Regions from separate parts of the Mus musculus genome. Here regions 2 and 3 are each reported to be linked to region 1. The links are microRNA targets in miRTarBase. Many come from high-throughput screens and were not tested one by one. Region 1 holds a microRNA gene; each other region holds the end of a gene's coding sequence.

What was found. The annotated mature microRNA mmu-miR-449b reads AGGCAGUGUUGUUAGCUGGC and lies in region 1 at 4,303-4,322, opposite strand. An mRNA with a match to its seed (bases 2 to 7 or 8) in the 3' UTR can be bound and repressed. Matches are read on the target gene's strand: a 7mer-m8 pairs with bases 2 to 8, a 7mer-A1 pairs with bases 2 to 7 and ends in A, and an 8mer does both.
Region 2: miRTarBase lists Pin1 as a target of mmu-miR-449b. The part of its 3' UTR that is shown has no 7-base or 8-base seed match.
Region 3: miRTarBase lists St6galnac3 as a target of mmu-miR-449b. Seed matches in the 3' UTR shown: 7mer-m8 at 4,601-4,607.

Annotation. Positions count from the first base shown.
Region 1 is chr13:113,034,593-113,041,750 of GRCm38, reverse strand. Mir449b (microRNA 449b) reads right to left here and starts at 4,332; the gene lies at 4,253-4,332. It overlaps Cdc20b (cell division cycle 20B), which reads right to left and starts at 6,372. Exons shown (of 12, transcript NM_001281487.1): 1 at 6,310-6,372; 2 at 5,975-6,037. The coding sequence starts at 6,372. Mir449c (microRNA 449c) reads right to left here and starts at 5,768; the gene lies at 5,660-5,768. It overlaps Mir449a (microRNA 449a), which reads right to left and starts at 4,217; the gene lies at 4,127-4,217.
Region 2 is chr9:20,662,799-20,669,995 of GRCm38, forward strand. It overlaps Pin1 (protein (peptidyl-prolyl cis/trans isomerase) NIMA-interacting 1), which reads left to right. Exons shown (of 4, transcript NM_023371.4): 4 at 377-914. The coding sequence ends at 486. Olfm2 (olfactomedin 2) reads right to left here. Exons shown (of 6, transcript NM_001357635.1): 6 at 4,892-5,986. The coding sequence ends at 5,309. Among named protein-coding and RNA genes, the nearest start is that of Pin1, 14 kb to the left of the region's middle.
Region 3 is chr3:153,198,758-153,205,943 of GRCm38, forward strand. It overlaps St6galnac3 (ST6 (alpha-N-acetyl-neuraminyl-2,3-beta-galactosyl-1,3)-N-acetylgalactosaminide alpha-2,6-sialyltransferase 3), which reads right to left. Exons shown (of 5, transcript NM_011372.2): 5 at 3,752-6,834. The coding sequence ends at 6,648. Among named protein-coding and RNA genes, the nearest start is that of Gm33066, 22 kb to the right of the region's middle.

The DNA of each region.
Region 1 (7,158 bases):
GCCAACTAGCAATTTACATTCTGGGTCTCCAAGTTCAATTTCGAGCAGAACCCACCCCTCCTAGTGCTACTTCCCAGGCTCTTATTGCCACGTCCTCCGACTCCTGATTTTCCGGAGCACCAAAAGCTCTGTCAACGCATCTGCGCATGCTCCCCCCAGGCAGCATCTGAGCATGCTCCCTCCAGGCACTTGAGCAGAAATGCAGCCCACCCCCCCACACACACACACACACACAGGCTGTGCAGACCCACCCTACCAGGTGGGTGATCACAAAGCTGAACAGAGAGTGACCTTGACTGTCCCAGTAGATGTGATTCTGATGTCCTCAAGTCACCACTTCTCTCCGGGGCCATATCAAGAGCTTCCATCCATCCAGTGTCTCCAGGTCAGGCTGCTTTATCTAACCCATGCTCTCAACAATAGCCAGTCTCCCCTCGCACTTGGAAAGGCAGAGCGGGCAGGCAAGGCTCTAAAAGCATGTTCTGTGAATGGCCCTGGCAGAAACTCAACGGTCCCTTCAGAGACCCCTAACATTCAGCTGATAGTGGAGAAGAGCTGTTTGCTAGTGTGCCGCCACTCACGACTCAGGGGGTCGCACTTATCAACTTAACTGGGCTACTGCTTCCCAGATACAGGCTGCTGCAGGACGTGGGAAGTATGTGAAAAGGTGTCATCTTCAAGGCAAAACAGAGATGTGGTTGCATGTACCTTCGCTGAGTTAATAATTTGTTGACTAAAGTTCATCATACAAACTCATCTATTCTTGGTAGATGCATCAGCAGAGAACAGTGGGACTGAAATTAATATGAATGTGCCCTGAAAGCGGCACCTCTTAATCATAAAAATGATAGTACATCTATATATGTGTACATAAATATAACATATGTAAGTTATATACACATATATAATGTGTTATATATGTATTCATATATACATGTTACAGGTGCACTATAATTACATATATGCACATATATAATATACACAAATTATGTTATATATGTGAACATATATATGTGTTTATATATGAGGACTTTTCCTGTATAGCAGCTGTATAATTTCATAGCCTAAATGTTCCCATGTGACCAGCGTCAGTATCAATGGCTTAGTACCTAGCTTGTATATTTTCTGAGATCGTTAACCATTGCTTCTCACAGTCAACCGAAGATGGCTCCAGCAAATAAAAAATCCTTACAAATAGAATTGATAAAGGTGTCATAAGGCTCCCCAAAGAGAAAAGGCTAACGTGAAATGTATCAAACATGCCCTTTTTCTTATTGTAAATACACTATTTTGACGGGGTCCATACAAATGTGGACATGTATGCAGTTTCTGAATTATGGAACGCTGCCTAATCCCAGCGAAGTCTGATGGCCTACACACTCTCTCTATACAGATAGCCTCAAGGAGGAAAATATGCAGGTCAAAAAGAAAATAAAGGAGAGGAAGAGGGCAGGGCAGAAGTAAGGAGAGTAGAGGGGAGGGAAGGGAGAGGCAGAAAGGAGGAAGAAAGGGGAGGAAGAGGAGGACAGGAAATGGGAGAGGGAACCCAAGAAGGAAACGAGAAACTATGTTTTCTTTTCAAATATTGACTATGTTTTAGCAGTCTGTCCTGAGTAAGCCTTGGGAGCGCTGAGTGACCCTTGTACATAATAGTGTTTCCGTGGGAGAAAACGACCAGCCTGGATAACGTGGACCCATACTGAGTCCTCAGGTTGACTTGCAGTAAATTCTGTCTGTCGCTTTGCCTACAAATGAATCCCTGCCACTCTTGGGTCTCTCCTCCGGGACTCTGCTGGGGCACTGCCCTTGAGAGAATTCAGAATGGGGTAGCAAAGGGGCAGGGCTCCCTTTCAGGTGCTGTGGACAGCACTGCGGTTTTCCTGCCTCCAGCTCATCCTTTCCTGGCTGCTGCTTCCCTGGCTTCCCCGTGTATAACTCTCCCTCCCTCCCTTCCTCTCCCACCCCCACAGACACGTTATATTTAGTAGTAGTTCATCTTTGTTTTTGCTTTGCTTTTTGTTTTGCTGTTTTATTTTGGAATGAGAGTCTCACAAAACCCAGACTGGCTTCAAACAATTTGTCCTATAGCCAAGGCTGCATTAAACTCCTCTGACTCCTGATGTTGGGGGTTACAGGTGTAGTCTGCTATGCCTGGCCGATTCTTCTTCCTTCATTTTTCTCCTTACCAATGGATCTCATGCCCTTACGTTGATTTCACTCCACTCCGCCCTCCTTTCTCATCATCTTAGTAATATAGAATTAGGAAGTGTTTTCAATACGCGTGCATGGGGGTGTTTGTACAAGGTCCTAGGTTACATCCCAACATTCCAAAATATATACATGTTTATTGAGTGCAAATGTTGGTGTTTTATGCCTTGCTTTTCAATTAAAACGCAAAGAAAAGCCTTCTAGGTTTAGTAGATTTTATTTTTATCGACAAGTCATTAACTAAAGAAAAAAAACATGCAGAAATTTAACCTTAAAAAAAAAAGATGAAATCGGGCTGGGCAGTGGTGGCGCACACCTGTAATCCCAGCACTTGGGAAGCAGAGGCAGGCGGATTTCTGAGTTAGAGGCCAGCCTGGTCTACAGAGTGAGTTCCAGGACAGCCAAGGCTGCACAGAGAAACCCTATCTCAAAAGATGAAAACATGATAAATCAAAGTACTGAGAGTAAGTGACTGTTGATGTGTCTGATTTATATCAACCCCACAAAAGTCAAGGAACATTGTAGAAGAGGGGGACAGAAGGAATGTAAGCCAGGGAATGAGGAAGAGTACTGGGAACACTGTCTTCTGGCCCTGTATGGTCCTTACACTCCTCAACTAACGACAGATAAGCAGGCCTGTGTAAGATGAAGCCTGCTAACCATCCAGCAGGGTGGGGAGGGGCCCGGAGGCTCCACCCTAGCTGAAGAGCCGCTGGAGAATGATGACAAATGGGAAACGGAGGTCATTTTTCTTCACGGGCAGGAGCTGTAGTGGATCAGATAGATGGCCCCCCGCTCGTGGGAATGTGGACAGCTTTAATTGGACTCAGGGTGTTATTTTTTAAAAGAAGCCATAGAGGTAGAAGGGAGGTATTGGGAAAGGGTCCAGAGGGAGTGGGAAGTTTGGGTTGAATAGAATCAAAATTCATTGTATACATGTGTGAAATTCTCAGGGAATAAATAAAAATTCTAAAAAAAAAATGAAAATACTATTTACTTAGCTGTCTTAAACACAAAGACCATCATAAAATAATACTGGTCAACAGCAGCAACACCAAGGATGAGATTTGAAAATAGTAAAATACACAGGAATCAGATAATAGCATCTGTTTAACCTATGTCTAAGAAATATATTTACATTTAAATAGTTAATGCAAATTTATTTCATCAGGAGATTTTGGCCCAATAACTTAAAGAGTGCAGTCTTTTTCTTTTCTCTTCTATGTCTCTAGTAGTCACCAGTACACCACAGTGAGTTCTGGTGATTTCCTGCAGATGTCCACCTGAGGTCACCATATGACCTCTGACTCTGTTCCGTGAATCAAACGGCCTTCCAAAGAATGAGGAAGTATTTTAAATAATATTTATGGCCAGCTCTTCTTCTTTCTTTATAAACTAGATCTCATGTCCTTCCAATTATTGTAAAAAATATTTGCAATATTTTATACAAAATGGAAGAACTGAGTTGTCTCCCCAAATAAATAAGCCCATCCCTACCACATCCCCAAGATATCCCAAATTGTCTAGATACTTCTAGTGAAGATGTTTTAACGTGTGGGTCATTTTGAAAGTTAACACAAATTCTCCCTCCACTTGGTGTATACATAAAGTTGGAGAGACCTGCTCTACTCTATCATGAAACTGATTTAGTTGGAAACTTGGGCAAATACACAAGGCTTTCCATTTTATTCTAAATCTTGTGTTAAAACAACAAACACATAACTTTATAAATGCTTTGATAATGTCAAGCTAGGACTCAGAAAATATTACTTGAGTTTTTAAAGTAACAATGGTTAGTACTTTCACTGCTATAAATATGTCCTTGTGTCACCCCAAGCCACTAATAGCTGTTATCATAATAGTACCCCTCTTCATGGCAAAGCACATACATGAGCTGTAAATGCATGCTGGTGGTGATTGTGTGTGCAATAGGAGAGCAGTCGCATGTTAGCTGGTGCCGCTCACATACTCAACCAGCTAACAATACACTGCCAAGCCATCACACACAGGCAAGACAGCGCACCTCATTAACAAGAAGAACCCAGCCAGAAGGAAGTGGCAGGGTAGCTGTGGCTGCTGGCCTGACCCAACGCAGCCAGCTAACAACACTGCCTACCCGAGTCTGGCAAGTTCGGATTTTCACAGTCTGTGGAGTGGCTGAGGCTAAGTTTCTAACAGAAAGACACTGCTGCAGAGCTGCTGGAGTGTGGTGGCGTGGATACGGAGAGCAAGGGAACTCTGAGGGAGCCAGTTTTCTCCTTCCACCATGTGAATTCCTGGGATAGCATGGCAGTAAGTGCCTTTACTGAACCTTCTTGCCAACCCCAGAACTCTAATCTTAGTAACTGAAGAGGATTTATAGAGAAACCTTGTTTAATGTCTCCTAAACTATAAGAAACAAAATTTATATTACCAAGCTATACCCATGTTTTAAAAAAAAAAACTTTTAAGAACTTTAAATGTGGTTTTTGATGTTTTGTTTGTTTTTCCCCCTTGGGGGTGGGGGGTTGATTGGCTAATTTTTTTCTAGACAGGTTGTTTTTGTGTTTTTTTTTTTTTTTTTTTTTTTTTTTGTAGCCCTGGCTGATGTGGAACTGCTGTGTAGACCAGGCTGGCCTGGAGCCGGGAGATCCACCTGCCTCTGCCTCCCAAGTGCTGGCATTAAGTGCTTGACTAAGAACTCTGTATTCTTATACTTGGGTTTTCCAAATTTAATGTTAAGTTAAAGATGTTAGCAAAGTAAAAATGAATTAACAAAAGTTCAATTGAATTAGGCAGTAAAGTATCTAGAAGATAAAATAATTTGGGCAGGAAACATAACTAAAGACACAATGTAAAGGCTTTTAAATGTTATTTCTCTATAGGTGACATTAGTCACTGCATTTTAAAAGGCCAGCTATATATTTGATTTCAAGCGTCACTGATTGAATATAGAAAAATGTATGTTATCTAGAAAAATATTCAAATGGTGAGATTTTAGCTAATAATCTAAATTTAAAAGCATGTGGGCTATTTGGTGTAAAGAGAAGTAAGTGGTGCTAGAGATGTGAGTCAGATGAGGATTTAACTTTTTCATCCATTAAAGAAAGTACAGGAGCTGGAGAGATGGCTCAGCGGCTGAAAAGAGCACTGGCTGCTCCTCCAGAGAACACAGATTAGATTCTCAACACCAACAGGGCGGCCCCCAAAAGCCTGAAACTCCAGTTCCAGGCGATCAGAAGCCCTCTTCTGAGCTCCGCGGACACCACGCACACACGTGATGCACAGATATAAGTGCAGGTAAATAAACACAAGGTAATAAAAATGAGTTTCAAAAGAACACTCTTTTAAAAAGAACTGCAAGCTTTGGGTTAGAGCTTTAAGGGGCAGAAATACTATATTGGATCCAGCTTTTAGTAGCTGTCTTGAAGACACCTCCTTATCCACCAGATGGCACTATTTCCACGTCTTTGCATGCTTCTGAGTGCAGCAGAGGGTAGTGCAGCTAGCAACTGTTGGGATAAAGTTCTAACAGCCAGCTAGCAATGCACTGCCTGCCTGACACACCCACACTTCATCCTCTGTGGAGCCGGACACTGGGAAGCGCCCGCTAAGCAGGTATAAGTAGCTACATCAGTTGTGAGAATCCATTTCTTAAGTCTTCAGATTCTGTAAAGGTTTTTAATTTGTATTAATTCTCCCATAATTCCTGCAAATGCCTTCTATAGCAAGAATTAATTTGCTCGAGATCAGAATGAAGACAGAAGGGCAAGCCCAGAAAACTCACCTTGGGGGAACCTTGATTTCGCTGCTGCTTCATGCCGTTGGCGAGCACCCGCATGATGTTCTCCTTTGGAAATAGATTAACATAAGAAGGGAGAAAACTCTAGGAAAATCGTCACGGAGAGTGGGGAATTGTTTTGAATCCTGGGTTTGCTGATTCACTCATTCTTTCTAAAGCAACCAGGTATCTCCAGAACTTAAATTTCACACCGTTCAAAATTTAAACTAGGCTGTAGAATTTCATGGCATCTTTTGGTCCTTACTGGGTATTACAAACCGTACCTTCTGCAAGAAGCCCCATGGGAGGGTTGGGTCAAGAAAGAAAAGGATGGTACGCACCCACAACATCTCTTCTTCCGTCCGGATCTTCCTCCGGGCGGTGCGTTGCAGTTTCCACTCCATCTCCGAGTGAGTGCGCTGTTCCTGGACGCCTTGCCTCTCCCCCTCAGGGGCTAAGCAGGACCACGACTTCCCAAACCGCTAGCCTCGTCCCCCTAAACCCATCAAACCTGCCCTCCTACCCCCGAGACCCTCGCTCCTCCCACAGCTCCTGGAGCGTATTCCCCAGGGTAACCTTTAAAAAGCCCGCGGGGCGGCAATCAAAGCGGGAACCTCCTTCCGTCGGTCCCGCCACAGGCCAGCGCCTCGATGACGTCAAGTCTGGGGTGTCGGGGTGCTCGCTCGGGTCCCGCCCTCCTACCCGCGCCCCCGCACTGGGCCTCCCGAGCGGCGCGCGCCGCAGCGCCAAGCTTTGCCGCGAGCAGTGGCGGGCCTGAGCCTCCTGCCCGAGCCCGCAGGAGGTGCGGAGTCGGCGGGTAGAGAAGCGGGGTTTTTGGAGTTCACTGTTGTTTTCAAAAGCAAAAACGTTTCGTCCTAACTGACTCTAATCCTTTTTTTCCGTTCCCCTCTCCTTTTCTTCAACCCCACCCTGATTATCAAATTTGGACGCGTGCAGTAATTCTCACCCTTCTGTTTACTGCTTAGTGATAATCGCTTGTGAAAATTCCTGAACGTAAACATGTCTCTCAATGAGCATGTTAACTCCTCTGTCTTCAAACTCAAACTCAAAAAAGGGGGGGGGGGTGTCTAGGCTGCCGAGAAATGCGTTGACATTTCCAATTAATAAATTATCCGCACTGTCCACTTGGGGAATTGGGGAACTGGCCAAGTTCTCTTGCTGGATCTTGG
Region 2 (7,197 bases), not on the chromosome of region 1:
CCCATCTTCTCTCCTTCATCTCTTTGGCGTGAGCTGGAAGTGTGAGGTGTGGGCCCCTGCCTTGGAGTCAGGTAGCAAGCCTCTGCTGTCAGCCCTGGCCACCTCCCTGCAGGATAGATAATGTTCAGCCAGGAATCCAGAGTTCATCATGCAGTGTGTCTAAATGTACAGCACAGCTCTGCCTACTATCCCACGCTGTCTTTGGGCTTCCCGGGGCCTCCTTAATGGGCCTGTGGCTCTCAGCTGGGCCACAGCTCATCACTGCACAGTGACAGGGCTATAAAACCCATGATGAATATGCTTGAGACTGAATGCAGGCAGGAGCCCCATCTGCTGTGCAGCCTGTGCCTGACCTCCACTGTCTGCTGTTTCACAGGTCAGATGCAGAAACCATTTGAGGATGCGTCGTTTGCTCTACGGACAGGGGAGATGAGTGGGCCCGTGTTCACGGACTCGGGCATCCATATCATCCTGCGCACAGAATGAGGGCAGGCACCTGGCCAGCCTGCTCTGGCTGCCACACAGCCCACGGATGCCCTTCCTGCTACTGTCACACAGTATTTATTGTTCCTAAAATGACTGGGAGGGGCTCTGAGCATCCCGCTCCCTGTTTGCCCCTATTCGGGGCTGTCCTAGCCAGGCTCCTTCTGGAGGAATTGACTTCAGAAGGGCAGTGGGGATGGGGAGGCCCCCAGGCTCAGGGGGTCAGAGGTGACCTGATCCCCCAGGTCTCAGAGGCAGGCAGGAGGGCCTTCTTTCTTGTTAGTTATATGCTCCATTCGTTCCTCTGTTCAGTTGCAAAAAGCAGACGCTCCATACCTGGCGGTGCAGCAACTCAGCCTCAGGGTGCAGTGCAGCACCCTACGCACCTTCCATTAAATCTGGAACCACTGGTTGGTGGTCCTGTATCATTACCTTCCTGGTGAGGTGTGGGGCCCTTGTCTCAGGGATGGGGCTTTTACCCACGTGTCCAGACTCTTCTCTAGCTCTAAAAGACCTTCTTTTCCACAGCTTGGGGGGTGCTGGCAAGAATTCTTTCCACTAGCTATATTCCCAGGGCTGCAAATACCTCTGAGCCCCACCAGTCCAGACCCACTTGTATAAGCACCCTGGGGACTGTTCAGGTATGCGCAGACCACCCCACCACCCCACCCCACTTCCAGCTGTTAGGTCTGGAGTGATCCCAAGAGAACCTGGCTTAGCATCTGCCTTGGCACACCCCCGGTGCCCATCCCTCCCCCTCAGCACACAGACAGACTGCTTATTGGTGAGAACAAATCACCCAGCATCTGCCACCCACTTCTGACTGGATATTCCTGGGCTCAGCCACAAGACCTAGCACTCTCCAGGTGCTGTTTCCATGGTAACAGAGGCCCCCTCAACTGGAGGAGAGGGGGGCTTTATCAGCTCCCAGAAGAAAAGAGATCCTATTGGAGGGGGCTGGGAAATGGATATTGCTTTGAGTGGCAGGTGGGGAGAGAAGGCGGACTCTCCCACCTTGGCTAGGGCCCTATGTCTCCCACAACTGCCTCTGAGCCTAAGGACTGAGGGCTCAGAATTCAATCAAGGTTTCTGCATATACCCACAAGTGATGGGGGGCCCAGCCTGGGGGATGTTCTAACCAGCAAGGCTTGGGGGCCAGAGCAACATTAAGCCTGGACCCCAAGAGAGCCCTCCCTCCCCACAGGCCTGAGTCTCATGAACAGAGTCACCTGAGCCTGCTCCCATCTGGCTGCTTTCTAGAGCAATCGCTCTTTGCCAGCCGCCTGCTGGAGCATTTGTCATTAGGAAGGTTTAATGAGTTTTTTCCCAGCTCAGACAGGCACAGGCTGAGCTGAGTTGGCTATACCTCCAGCAAAATGTTCTCCAGTGGGCCAGTGGGGACTCAAGGCAAACAGTCACAGTTTTGCTGTCTTGCAACAGTTGGGTGGGCTCAGGAGGCAGTGGCAGCCCTCCAAGTATCATGGGACCTTTGGAGGGAAGAAGAGGACCTCTAGCTTAGCTTGCAACACCAAGAGCTCTGGGAGGTTCTCCCTAGGGCCACTGCCACATCTGATCCACTGCCTGTAAGAAGCAGGTATTACCATAGTGGTAATTTGTGCATCCCTATGTGTGGCCATGTGATTTGGTATCTATGTTCTATATGATCCCAACCCACTGTCTAGGGTCTGTCCTTTGGACCCCTGCCAACCTCTTTTCCTGTCTACACAATTGTAAAAACCTAAGACTGAACATTGCTGTTAGATAAATGAGCCCCAGGAGCCCACTCAGCGTCCCCAGCATATATTATTAACTACCTGTGGTTTCCCTCACCTGCTCCAAGTTCCCACCCAGACTTGCTACTGGGAACTGGCTATAAATCCTGGGCCTTTAGGATGGCAACAGTGTAACAACCCCCCACCCCCAAGGGATGGAAACTTCTCTTTGTGCAGACTCCACTGCTCATTCTTAATGGGCTCTTCTTAGACTTGACACAGGGGATTCTGGGTTATTGCTGCAGTAGGGAATGGCAGCCTCCTGATTATAGCCAAACAGTCATCTATGATTTAGAGCAAGTTGGTTAACTCAGCACCACATAGCTCAAGACAGACAAATGAACAGAAGTGGATGGGTGAGGCGGGTAGGACCAATTGCTAATCCTTTGTAGTTGCAGCATGTGCCGAGTAATTTGTATATTTGCATTCAGGCATGCATGTGCACATGCGTGTGCATGTATTCATTGACTGTATACATTAAGAGTGCATACGTATAAGAGTGACACAGTGGGTGTACTATCAGATGCTCTGGCCCAAGTAAACACTCAGTGCCCACCTGTGACAGACATGTTCACATCAGTTCTATCCTTATGGAAACATGTCTCTAGGCACAAGTATACTCTAGCAAAGGCTAGAATTCCACAGTGCTGTAAGTGCAGCCTGGTTCTTTGACTCTGAGACCATGACCACCTTGAGCACAAGTTACAGGCAGGAGACATGCGCACTCCTTTTCCTTATTTGGAAATTTGAGACAAGATCTCACCCGGGTGGCATCAGCCTCCCCAGAACTGGTATGTCTAGTGGGTTCCTCCATGCCAAGCCTTTGCTGTCTTCAGTGGCATGAAGTTTGTCATGCTAGTCCGGGCCTTTATTCTTTTCCCCAGTGTCGTGCTTGTTCACTTACGTGGGAATTAATTGCTCTTCTCGAGGATGCCTTTAGAAATTGGTTTTAAATGAGTGCATTAGGCAGCCCCATTCATTATTCATGGGTTTCCTTCCCAATATGGCATCCAAGTCTGAGTTCCCGGAGATGATTTAATCACAGAGGCCATTAATTAGAGATGGGACAGCAGCCTCCTGGTGGCCTCAGCAGGGCGGGGTCATGGCCAGTGAAGATCTGCACATGCTGTCCCTGCCGTGGGTTCGGTGGGCTGGTGTGGGGGATGGGGAGCAGCATGTATTGCTCACTGCTCCATTTCAGCTGAAAGCCCCGCACATAACTCACTGCTCTCCCAAGTTGTGATGCCTTGGCCTCAGCCTTTCTGAAGCTGTGACTTTAATACCTCATGTTAGGGTGACCCTCCAACCATAAAACTTGGCAGAGTTTCTCTGTGTAGCTCTGGCTGTCCTGGAACTCACTTTGTAGACCAGGCTGGCCTCGAACTCAGGAATCTGCCTGCCACTGCCTCTGCCTCCCAAGTGCTGGGATTAAAGGCGTGCGCTACCACTGCCCAGCTCATAAAACTATTTTTGTTGCTCCTTCATATCTGTAATTTTGCTACTGTTAGGAACCATAAATATCTTTTGAGATAGAGGTTTGTCAGAGGGATCCTGACCTACAGTTTGAGAACCACTATGCCCTTATACCACAGACCTGGCTGACATGAAGCCCTCAGCATGCTGTGGCTCCGCTGGCAAAATACTTGCCTAGCATGAATGAAGCCTTGGGGTCCGTCCTCAGCATCGTTACAAACCAGGCATGGTGGTGGAAGCAAGATCCCGATGATCAAAAGCTCAAGGTTAAATAGAGCACCGCCCATTTCCTAACCAATCCTCTTATCTCCCCACCCCCGCAATGTCACAGCTGGGGGCACCAGGCCTCTGGCTGCCTAACCCTATCATGCCACCTAGTTTTTGTTAGCTTGCTTTGGTTGGTGCTTGTTTAACAATGAATAGATTGGGGGGGGGGGGGCGTTCAAGACAGGGTTTCTCTGTATAGCCCTGGCTGTCCTGGAGCTCACTTTGTAGACCAGGCTGGCCTCGAGCCTCGAACTCAGAAATCCGCCTGCCTCTGCCTCCCAGGTGCTGGGATTAAAGGTGTGCGCCACTACACCCAGCATGAATAGATTTATTAAGGGAGAGACTGCCAGGAGTTACCTAAGGAGGAGTAGCTCATGGCTCAGTTTCAGGACTCCTGTCCCCACTGCACTGAGTACACCTCTGCCCCACTCTAAGAAGAGTGCAGTGGGTTTGCTCAAACCCTGCCTAGGTACACCTTTTAGTTGAGTCTTGCAGTTAACTAGTATGACTTGTGTAAAAACGGTCTCTGCAATTACATAGCAGAGAAGAAATTGGGGGTCCAAACCTCAAGAGCATCCAAACTGTTAAAAAGCCATTAGACCCAGACAGCTTAGTGATGTGCCGGTGTGATGAGTGAGTGAGACAGCTCTGGGGAATGCTCACTGAAGGCCAGTTTTCATCGCCATAATAGAACTCTATGCTGTTCTGATCCAGTTGCTTTTAAATTAATGGCATTCGACTAAAACACCTTTGGGTTGGGTAGGCTCCTCCAGGGCCTAGCAAGCTCTGGGAAGGGCTGTCTAAGGACGCCACCTCAGGTCACACCAGAAGCACAGGTAATAGAGACTCCGTGGAGACAAGTCTGCAGTTAACACTAGCTACAAAACAACCCAGGCACCAAATGTCAAAGGTCCGGTTTATTCTGGCAACCCGGAAAGAAAACATGTAAATAATAAATTTAAAAAACAAAATCCATGCACTCAGATCCAGGGATAGGGTGGGAGTGAGGGGTAAGGAATGTGGGAAAGTGGGAAAGGAAGAGGAGGGAGAGTAGATGGAGGGAGAGGAGAAGAGAGGTTCGATCAATAAGGAAGAGAAGCATCCATAAAAAGGCAGAAAGACTCAGAAGTGGAGTATCAAAAGCAGAGATCAATAAAATGGGGGAAATGCATGGGTAGAGATACTGAGAACAGAAAGCTGGGCTGGGGAAGTGGGGAGACGGAATCTAGGAAGGCAAGGGCATGACCAAGAGAAGGCTGGGGTGGGGGTCACAGGCGATGTGGGAAGGCTCCCCAAAGCCCTTGCAGGGGCACCTAGGGGTCCCCGGCAGTGCTGATGACGTGGAACAGGGTGACGTTGTACAGCACCTGGTGCCCGTTGTTCCAGGTATACAGGGCCCGCTCCCTGGGGTTGTAATCCAGCATCGAGATGTGCGAATACTGGTTGTGGAAGGGCACATCCGTGTACTCATAGCTGGACGTGTTGGTGAAGTACGCAAAGTAGACCTTGGCTCCGGCCAGGTGAGAGTTGGTCACATAGAGGACACCGCAGATCATGAAGGCCTCGCCGGCGCTGCGCTTAGGGTACCCGGTGTCCCAGGATCTCACGACCTCCAGGGTGTGAGGGTCCAGCCGACTGACTACGATGTTGCCCGCATTCTGGTTGGTGGTATACACAGCCCACAGCCCACTCTCGTCTACCATGAAGTCCATGTCCGAGAAGCCGCCCCAGGAATAGGGGAAGGTGTTATTGTAACCAGCCCCCGGGAGGCTCCTCTGCACCAGCACCGAGCGGGACCGGAAGTGGTACTTGACCACCACATTGCTCTGGTACTTATTGTAGAAGAGAGAGCCATTGTATACCACATGGCCCGTACCTGCCCATGGCTGTGGCAGCAGGTGCTGGATGAAGTTCTGGCCTTTGATGAAGTCTCCCAGAGTACGGAACTCCAGCACTCGGCGGCCTTTGTAATAACCATCCATGTACCAGACCTATGAGAGCAGCAGCCAGTCACTGGAGGGACTGTAACCAGTGACCCTCCGAGACTGGCCAGCCAGGCAACATCAATCATGGTCAGCCATTATCAGCATGTCGCTACTCAGTCACCATCCGTCCTATGATCTTAGTGACCAGTTATAGTCTAGTGATTGTGAACACTAATGGGCCTGGGCAGATGACTCAAGGGGTAAAGTGCTTGCCACTCAAGCATGAGGACCTGAGGTTGGATCCCAGCACCCATAAAAGTGCTGAGCACAGTGGTGTACAGCTGTAACCACACTGCAGGGGAAGCCAGAGACAGATCTTGGGAGCTCATCAACCAGCCAGCATAGCCATATTGATGAGCTGCAAGTTCTGTGAGGGATCCTGACTGAGGGGAGGGGGGGTTGAAAGGGCCAGGAAGATGGTTCAATGGGGGAAGTTCACCTGCTTTGCAAGCAGAAAGATTGTCTGACCCCAGAACCCATCTGAGAAGCTGACCATGGCCGTATGTGTCTATAACCCCAGTGCTCTTGAGCACAGAGACAGGAGGATCAACTGGGGCATGCTGACTGCCAGCCTAGCTCAGTAAGAGAGCCTATATCCAGGCCTAAGGCTGGGAGTGACACAACGGGGAATCTGATGTCCCTGGCCTGTGAGCACACACATCTGTACACAAACCTGTGCACATCGAACACACACTAAAGGGAAAAGAAAAGGCAGTGGAGAATGATAGAGAAAAACATGTTGACCTCTGGCCTCATGCAGGGACACACACCTGCCTATGCACATTCCTTTATGAACATATAACAAAAGGACCCTAAATTAGTGGTGATGACCTGAAGGATCAGGGAACATTTTCCTCTAGGAGACTTACTAGGATCATAGATTCACTGGACACTAGGTTGAGACTGTTCACTGAACAGCTATTGGGTAATAAGAGGTTACTTTGATTTCACTATATTTTGGTTGGTTTGACTTGGTTTTTGTTGTTTTGGTTTTGGTTTTGGTTTTTGAGTAGAGTCTAACTATGTAACCTAGGCTGGCTTGGAACTCATTTTGTAGACCAAACTGGCCTTGAGCTCACACCCGCATCTGCCTCCTAAGTTAAGTGCTGGGATTAAATAGGTTTGCCACCTTGTCTGGCTAACTCCTGTCAGCACAGATGTCACTGACCCTCAGCAGCACTGTCAGCCCCATGCTCAAATGCACTTGTGAATGCCCT
Region 3 (7,186 bases), not on the chromosome of region 1:
GACACAGACCTCTCTTGCTCTTTCTGCACTGATGAGCCAAACAGGAAGGACTCCATGGCTTTGGAAGAAGACAAATCAACAGGTCGAAGGTTGAGCTCCATGGAGTCAAAGTGGCTGTAAAGCAGCATGCGTGTGGAATTCATCGACCAGCTACTGGAACATTGCGGTTCTTGTTACATCTTTTCAGACTACCCTGACTGGATAGACATCCAGTTTATCCTTGTATTCAAATCACCTGTATTCAAACCTTATTTCACTGCTATTATCTGAACTGTGGCGAACCACCTTACTTCTGTATGCTTCAGCTGTTTATGTGGAATGACACTAATATTATGTATATACCACAGAATATTAGGGGGATCGACTCAAATACTCAGCCCTTTAACACAGCTGCTATGCATAAATTATTGTTATTAATTTCCAAAGTCGACTCAGTTTGAGACATCATCCAAATGTGGGTTTCTCATGGAGTTGATCAAGAACGTAAGCCGAGTTGTAAAATGACAAGTTATCTAAACATGACACGTGATGGTGAGAATGTTGACTTTGAAAAAACGAAAGAAGAGGCAGCAAAAGATATCGGAGTGAGGAAGGCAGAAGAAAGTGTGCAATTGAAGCAGCCTGGGCACTAACCTGACGCTGTTAATAAGCCTGCAGAGCAAGAGCCCAGCCCCAGGCAGCATGATAATCAATTCTGAGTGCCAGCTGGATTGGCGTAAGGAACACTGATGGCATTAACAAGGCATGACTCTGCTGGCAAGGGTGTTCCCAGAGAGAGAGGTGTTCTTAGGAGGAAAGACCCAGCCTGAACGTGGGCAGCACCATTCCATGCGCTGAGGTGTCAGGAGAAAAGCCAGCTGAGCCTGACTTCCTCTTCTCTGCTGCCCATTCGCCACCATGGGCCAAGCTGCTCTTGGTACCTTCACTGCCGGGACAGATCATGTTCTTGTGAGCCCAAATGCTTACTCCTGTGGCTGAATTCTGTCAGTTGTTTAAACACAGATAGGAGAAATAACAAATGTAGTTAAAGTGAACTACAAAGATTCCACAGGCTGGTAAAGCCGTGTCCTGGGTATCTTTTTGCCTTAAATATAACATGCACGAATACCTTGATCCTTGTTTCTTTCAGTCACAAAAGCCCACCCTGTCTTGTTAACCCACCCTCATTTCTCCTGTTATAAAAAGAAACTAAAATCTGCTACTCGCCCTTTGCCAAACGGTAAGCTTCGTTTTAAGATGTCTATAAATAAAGGACTATGTTCCCAGAGGACAAAGCCCCTGACCAGCTCACTGCTGTGCATCTCAGTCTCTTGTCTGTACATAAATGAATATTACAGGTTCCAAAGTGAATAAGCACCTGCAGCGAAGATGGTGAGACCCTCACAAACACAAGTGAGGCAGCGAAGATGGTGAGACCCTCACAAACACAAGTGAGGCATACACAACCCACATGGAATGGGACTGGTATTTATGCAGGGCCAGTGACAGATGTGCAACACAAGGAAACGAGCTCTTTGCAGCAGCCTGGGGGGCAAGGGTCTATCAACACCCAGGTTTCCATCCTTTTAAAGTTTCTCAGAAGAAACTGCTCAGGGTGTCAGCAAATACCAGGATGCGGCACTTGCCCATCACGTGCTCTTCACCTGCGCCTGTCACGTGCTCTTCGCCTGCGCCCGTCACGTGCTCTTCACCTGCACCTATGAGATGAGCTTCTGTTCTTCTGCGATCTCTAAAGCACGAACAGGAAGAGACCTATTTGTAGAGAAAGAGGCACTTTGCTACCTCAGAAACAATTTTGTGCCTATTCGGAGAAGAAAAGGATTTTAAAAAAATGTAAGGGGCTTAAAAAATGGCAAAATGCGGTTTTCTGTATTGTTACAACGCTCAAGGACAGCTCTGTTTCAATGCCTTTGCAATTTAAATGCAATTTTATTCTGGTGGTGTCTGTATGGTCAGCAAAAGCAAGCAACAAAACAGCACACTATCCCTGAGCCACGGGGATCATTTGAAGAGCCCGATGGATATAGTTTCCAGCTTCCCCACTTGTGACAGTGCCACGTAAGTGGACTCTCAAACCATGCATATCAATTGGATCTTGTGGCACACTGGGTGTTTGTATATACTGCAGAGGATGTGAGGCCTCCGACAGGAACTCACCCGCACACTGGACTACTCTCTCTGAGTCTTAGCCTTCCGGGTTAGTGAGCGGCCTCTCTCACCACGCAGCTCGCCAGATGCCAAGGGCTGCCCATCCTCAGTGACAAACAGTGAGAAACGTGCCCTCATGTTCTCTAGATGAACTGCAACATCTCATGACAATAGAACACCACTGGTCTTAGCAATACACGTGGAGAACGCAGCAGATAGAGCGGAACTCAGGCTCTATCCAAGTTGTACAAGACAACTGTAGAGTTCAGGGCAGGGATGATACCTCTGGTCCGAGGAGACCCTATGCTGGTGGAGCCTGTGGGCCATGGTAGATTCTTCTAGTAAACCACATGGGCATCTCCCCTGGTTATTATTTAGCATTTTAAAGGGCACAGTGGGAAGAGTATTAGAGCAGGAGTCAGTGATAAGACTTGGGTGTCAGGACTGTCATCGGACCAGTTGAGCTGTTTCAGGTCCCCAAGTCTCACTCCTTAGCTGCAGGCACGGCGATCAGACTGGCGGCTTTTCCAGGTCCTTGCATCTCTATATATTGGGTGCATAGGATGCTGAGCACTGGCTCCCGAAGTCACAGCGTCTCTTTACAGAAACAATCAACGGATGAGCTTCTGCCAGTTAGAAATGCAGTTAAGGGTGGCCTCTTCCTTGTTCCGGAATCGTGCTTCACGTGTCCTAACGCATGCCACCTGCCACCGGACAATGTGGCTGAGTCTCTCATTTTACAGGGCATATTAAGTGCTTGATACGTACATACATATATATGTTGTCTTTTTTTCCAAGAAGGTCATGAGTAAGCTTTTCTGAGGGCAACATCCTTTTCTTAAGGTCAACAGGTTCCCAGTTCAGTTCACACGCTCGCTTCCCAGTCAGCTTGGTTCATACTAAAACTGCAGAGGAAAAAAACCTCTCCTTACATAGTGACCCTTTTCCCACAACAGCCCCTGCTCTATGGCCGTGTAACAGAAACCATGCAGAATGTCGCCTCCTGGCTTACAGAGGGAACGGAGCCCAGCGCCATGTTCCTCTGTGTGGCTTTCGCTGAGCTACAGGTGGTCGAGTCTGCTGACACTGATTGCTACACTTGTGTGTCTGATTGGTGACAACTGTACATCTGATTGTATCCTCAGTTCTAGATTTAGCATCTTCTCTGGCTTTATTCCTCTGGCCAGCCATGCGGTGTGATTTCATACACACTCGGCAATCAGCGCATTTACTTTGGATTTTTTTTTTTTTCCTTTTCAGGATTCAAAATGAAACCCAACAAATTTCAGCTGAAGTCTAAAATAAGGCTTTCTATGAGTCACACATCGGCAAAGGCTGTGGAATCATATGCATGCTTTCTCATACAGTTGTAAGTACATATATATGCACTGCCCATTCATGTACTACATGCACAAATGGACTTCATGTTCATAAAGACAAACATACCTTCAAATTAATTATCATTTTTGATAGTTTGTCGCCAAGATAAAAATCATCTGTCAATTACAACATCAATATGACTTATTCAAAGGCTAACTTCAAAGAGACTTTAAATACTTTACATTTTCCATTGTTTTTAAAAAGGATTCTAAAGAATTAGAAATAATATTCTATGACTTTATTTAAAAATATTTCTTAGGATAGAGTACTCCAGAGTCTCTCACTCTCTTGTATGCCATTGAGTTGTGGTGTCTGTGTGTACATTTCCATTTTTCTTTTCATAAATATTAATTAATATATAGGTAGTTATGTAGCAGTGCTGAGTGAGGTCATTTAACTTTAATGTTTGGGTGTGGATAAAATCTTTCGGTGGACTAGTACCTGCAGGGCCAACAGGAGCTTTGACTAATGCTCGCCCTTGCCCACCCACTTGTCTCACTCTCTCACCAAGTCCAAGATGGAGAATTTCTCCTTCACATGGGAGAAATTAGACTTTGCATTTCTACCAGAACTAAGGCTGGAAGAAAGGGACAGGAAATGGAAGCAGAGAAAAGTATTACTTCAGAGGAAAGCAACTCCTGAGCGTTGGTCAAAGCCCTCATTGCAAAGGCACTCAACTGGGTCTTCATGAAGTGCTTTTGGTTTCATACTTTGCAAAAAAGGAGACAGACAACAAGGAGAAAGAAAGAGGAGGGAGGAGGATGGGGGAGGAGGGAGAAGAAGAGGGGAGGAGGAGAGAGAAGAGGAGGAGGAGGAGAGAGAAGAGAAGGAGGAGAGCTGAGAAAGGGGGGAAGGAGAGAGAAGGGGGAGGGAGAGAGAAGGGGGGTGAGGGCCACTGTCTATGCCATTCCAGACGACTGCAGGCTTAAATTTGGACGCTGCCTTTTCCACACACAGTGTGAGGAAAGCCCACACAAGAGGAAGCTATAGCTCTCTTTAGGGAGGCAGGAGAGTATGTTTGTTGAGTCTCTCATCTGTAAGCACCAAAATAGAGTTAGCCCACCACTGACTGGGCAGTGACACAAATCAGGTTACACACTCCTGAAGGCATTCAGATAACTGAGTGTTCATTTCATGTAAAAGCAGAACTGCATCACAACTGAGAGAAAACAACGCTCACATTGAAATTTTAACATTGCTATTATTTATTTTCCTTTAAGTGGGCATCTTGAATCACTATCAGCTCTAAAATCTAACATTCATAGAACTAAAAAAAAAAAGTCACATAAGCAAACAATAGAATAACCACTCCTCCCAGGGATGAGGCTGGGGCTGGGTAACTCTTGTGGGTGTGGGTGTGGGATGTCTATCAGTGTGACAGTGTAGGGTAGGAAAGATGCACATCTTAATGACGTCACACGTCACATGGCCTTTAGTCCTAGCCCTGTCAAGGTTCTACAGCTGAGGTGTATTGTTATTTCCAGCTCTAAAACATTAAATGCAGCCTGGTTTTAGCTTTTGAATTGTTGTGCCAAGATATTTATAGATGCTTGGTAGTGTCTCAGAAAACCAACTTCTAATATTTAAGGACCATTGATCTACGGAGAAGGAAGCCGTCTCAGGCCTAGACCAGGGAACTGTATTTCTCTGCTTCCATTCCTATCCATTGTCCCCGAGCCCTGGAACAGAGCCACTGACAGAAACAAAAACATTAAAAGTATCTAAGCTTATAGGGTACTGATCTATGACACAGCCATCCTTGTGGTCATCTTGTATAATCTCTGCTGTATTTGGCAGAGAACTCAATCATATACTAATTTACACAAATGCTACTCTATACATATATTCTGAGGCAGAGCAACTTGGGACACAGGAACACAGCTAACAATGCAGATCAGCTGCTGGGGGTGGCAGAATGTGCCGGCAATCATCCAGTGAGGCGGCCGTGGGTGTCACATGGCACACAGCATATGTGAAGCATAGCGAAGCACTTTGGGAAGTAAGCTCGTCACCATTTTACTGTCCTAGCAGAACATCTGATAACCTAAGGGATGGTCAACCCCATGAAGGCAAAAGCTCAGCCTGGGTTTGATGGTATAAAGAGTGTTTGGCACTTGGCATTGATAATGTATATGGAAAGATACCCTTTCAGCTTATAAAATAGAAATTTGAATTTAAAAATATATATTATGAATATGATAGGATACAAATTGATGCAAAAATATGTCTTGCTTTCCCTGTTTTGTGATTCAAAAAGCATCTCATTTGTTGGTACTGAGTGCTGAAGCAGAGAGAGAAACCCTTTGGTTATGCTCAAGAAATGCTTTCACAGTATGTGTTATTACAGTGTTGAAGTATATCTAACATGTTAATACTTAGCACTCAACCAAAAATAACTAAACATTAACGTAGGTAACTGTAATAATATGTTTAGTTATATTGTTTTGAGTAGTGAGAGCACAGCTGTCTGAGTGAAAATTTGTCAATATTTGCTACTTGATACATTTTGAATTAAGTCTCTGAGATAGTCCAGTAATCCTGGTACGCAGGAATTACAGAATGCCTTCATTGCTACATTTAGGTAGGTGGCCTGAGGCTTTCGCTGAGAGACATATGGAAGGAAGATGGCATATCAGAAAGAGATACCTCCCCTCTATCAGGCTGACTGGTAACTGTGGCATGACATCTATACCCTGAAGGATGACTTGGGACAGTGTTTGATAGTCCACCATTTTCCAAGATGGGGAGCAGCCCGTGCACTCAGTAAGCTTGCCTGAGCAGGCAGAAGTCGTCACTTCTGGAAGCCTCTTGAAGAATTCTGAGCAGCTATCTTGAAAGGTAATCTTCGTGTTTTCTTTAGTCACAGCCATCAGGTCACTGGCCTTCATTTCAACCGTAGGTAAGTTTTAAAGTGCAATTGATAGGGCCGAACCACCAGAAAGATCAGAATGAACATGACCGCCTCCCATGGAACGCCAAGTTCAAATTACTAACAGAGTCAGTATCCACACCAGAGAATGTCCAGGGCCATGGTCACACCCTGAACATCCTGCCTACACCGTCAGCACCATCAGCCTCTCTTCACCACAGCTGCAGTGTCATGGTCGGGAAGCACGGCATCAGGACAGCGTCCAGTTCGGGTGTGTGAATACTATTCTGTGCTTCTTGGCCCACTTGGCAAACACTTTCTTCTCGGTGATGAACCTGTGTCCCCCATACGGGGCATGTTCATGGAGAAGATATTCGTTACACTCATCTTTCCCTTGTTCATAGTAGTGATAGGGGACTTTTCTATACCCTTCTGTCCTGGAAGAGAAACAGAAGGGGAGGAAGACTGAGCTGAGCCGAGGATGAGGCTGGCGTTTACAAGCGTCCATTACATACCCCGCAAATGCATTTAACTTACAAGCCTTCATCAATGAGCTCAGTTAAAAGCTACCGCACATGAAAGCTTTTAGGGAAACGGAACCGTTCTCAGTGTCCTAATAGATCAAATACAATTTACATATCCTACCAATTACATTCAAACACATGGCTCAGTTTCAAAGGAGGAGATGGTATGAGACAGGACAAACCTTACGCAGCCCAGTGCTCTTTAAGGGGTAAGGAAACTGAGTTTTCACAGTGAAGTTTGGGGGTCATCTGTGTTCTCTTAGAC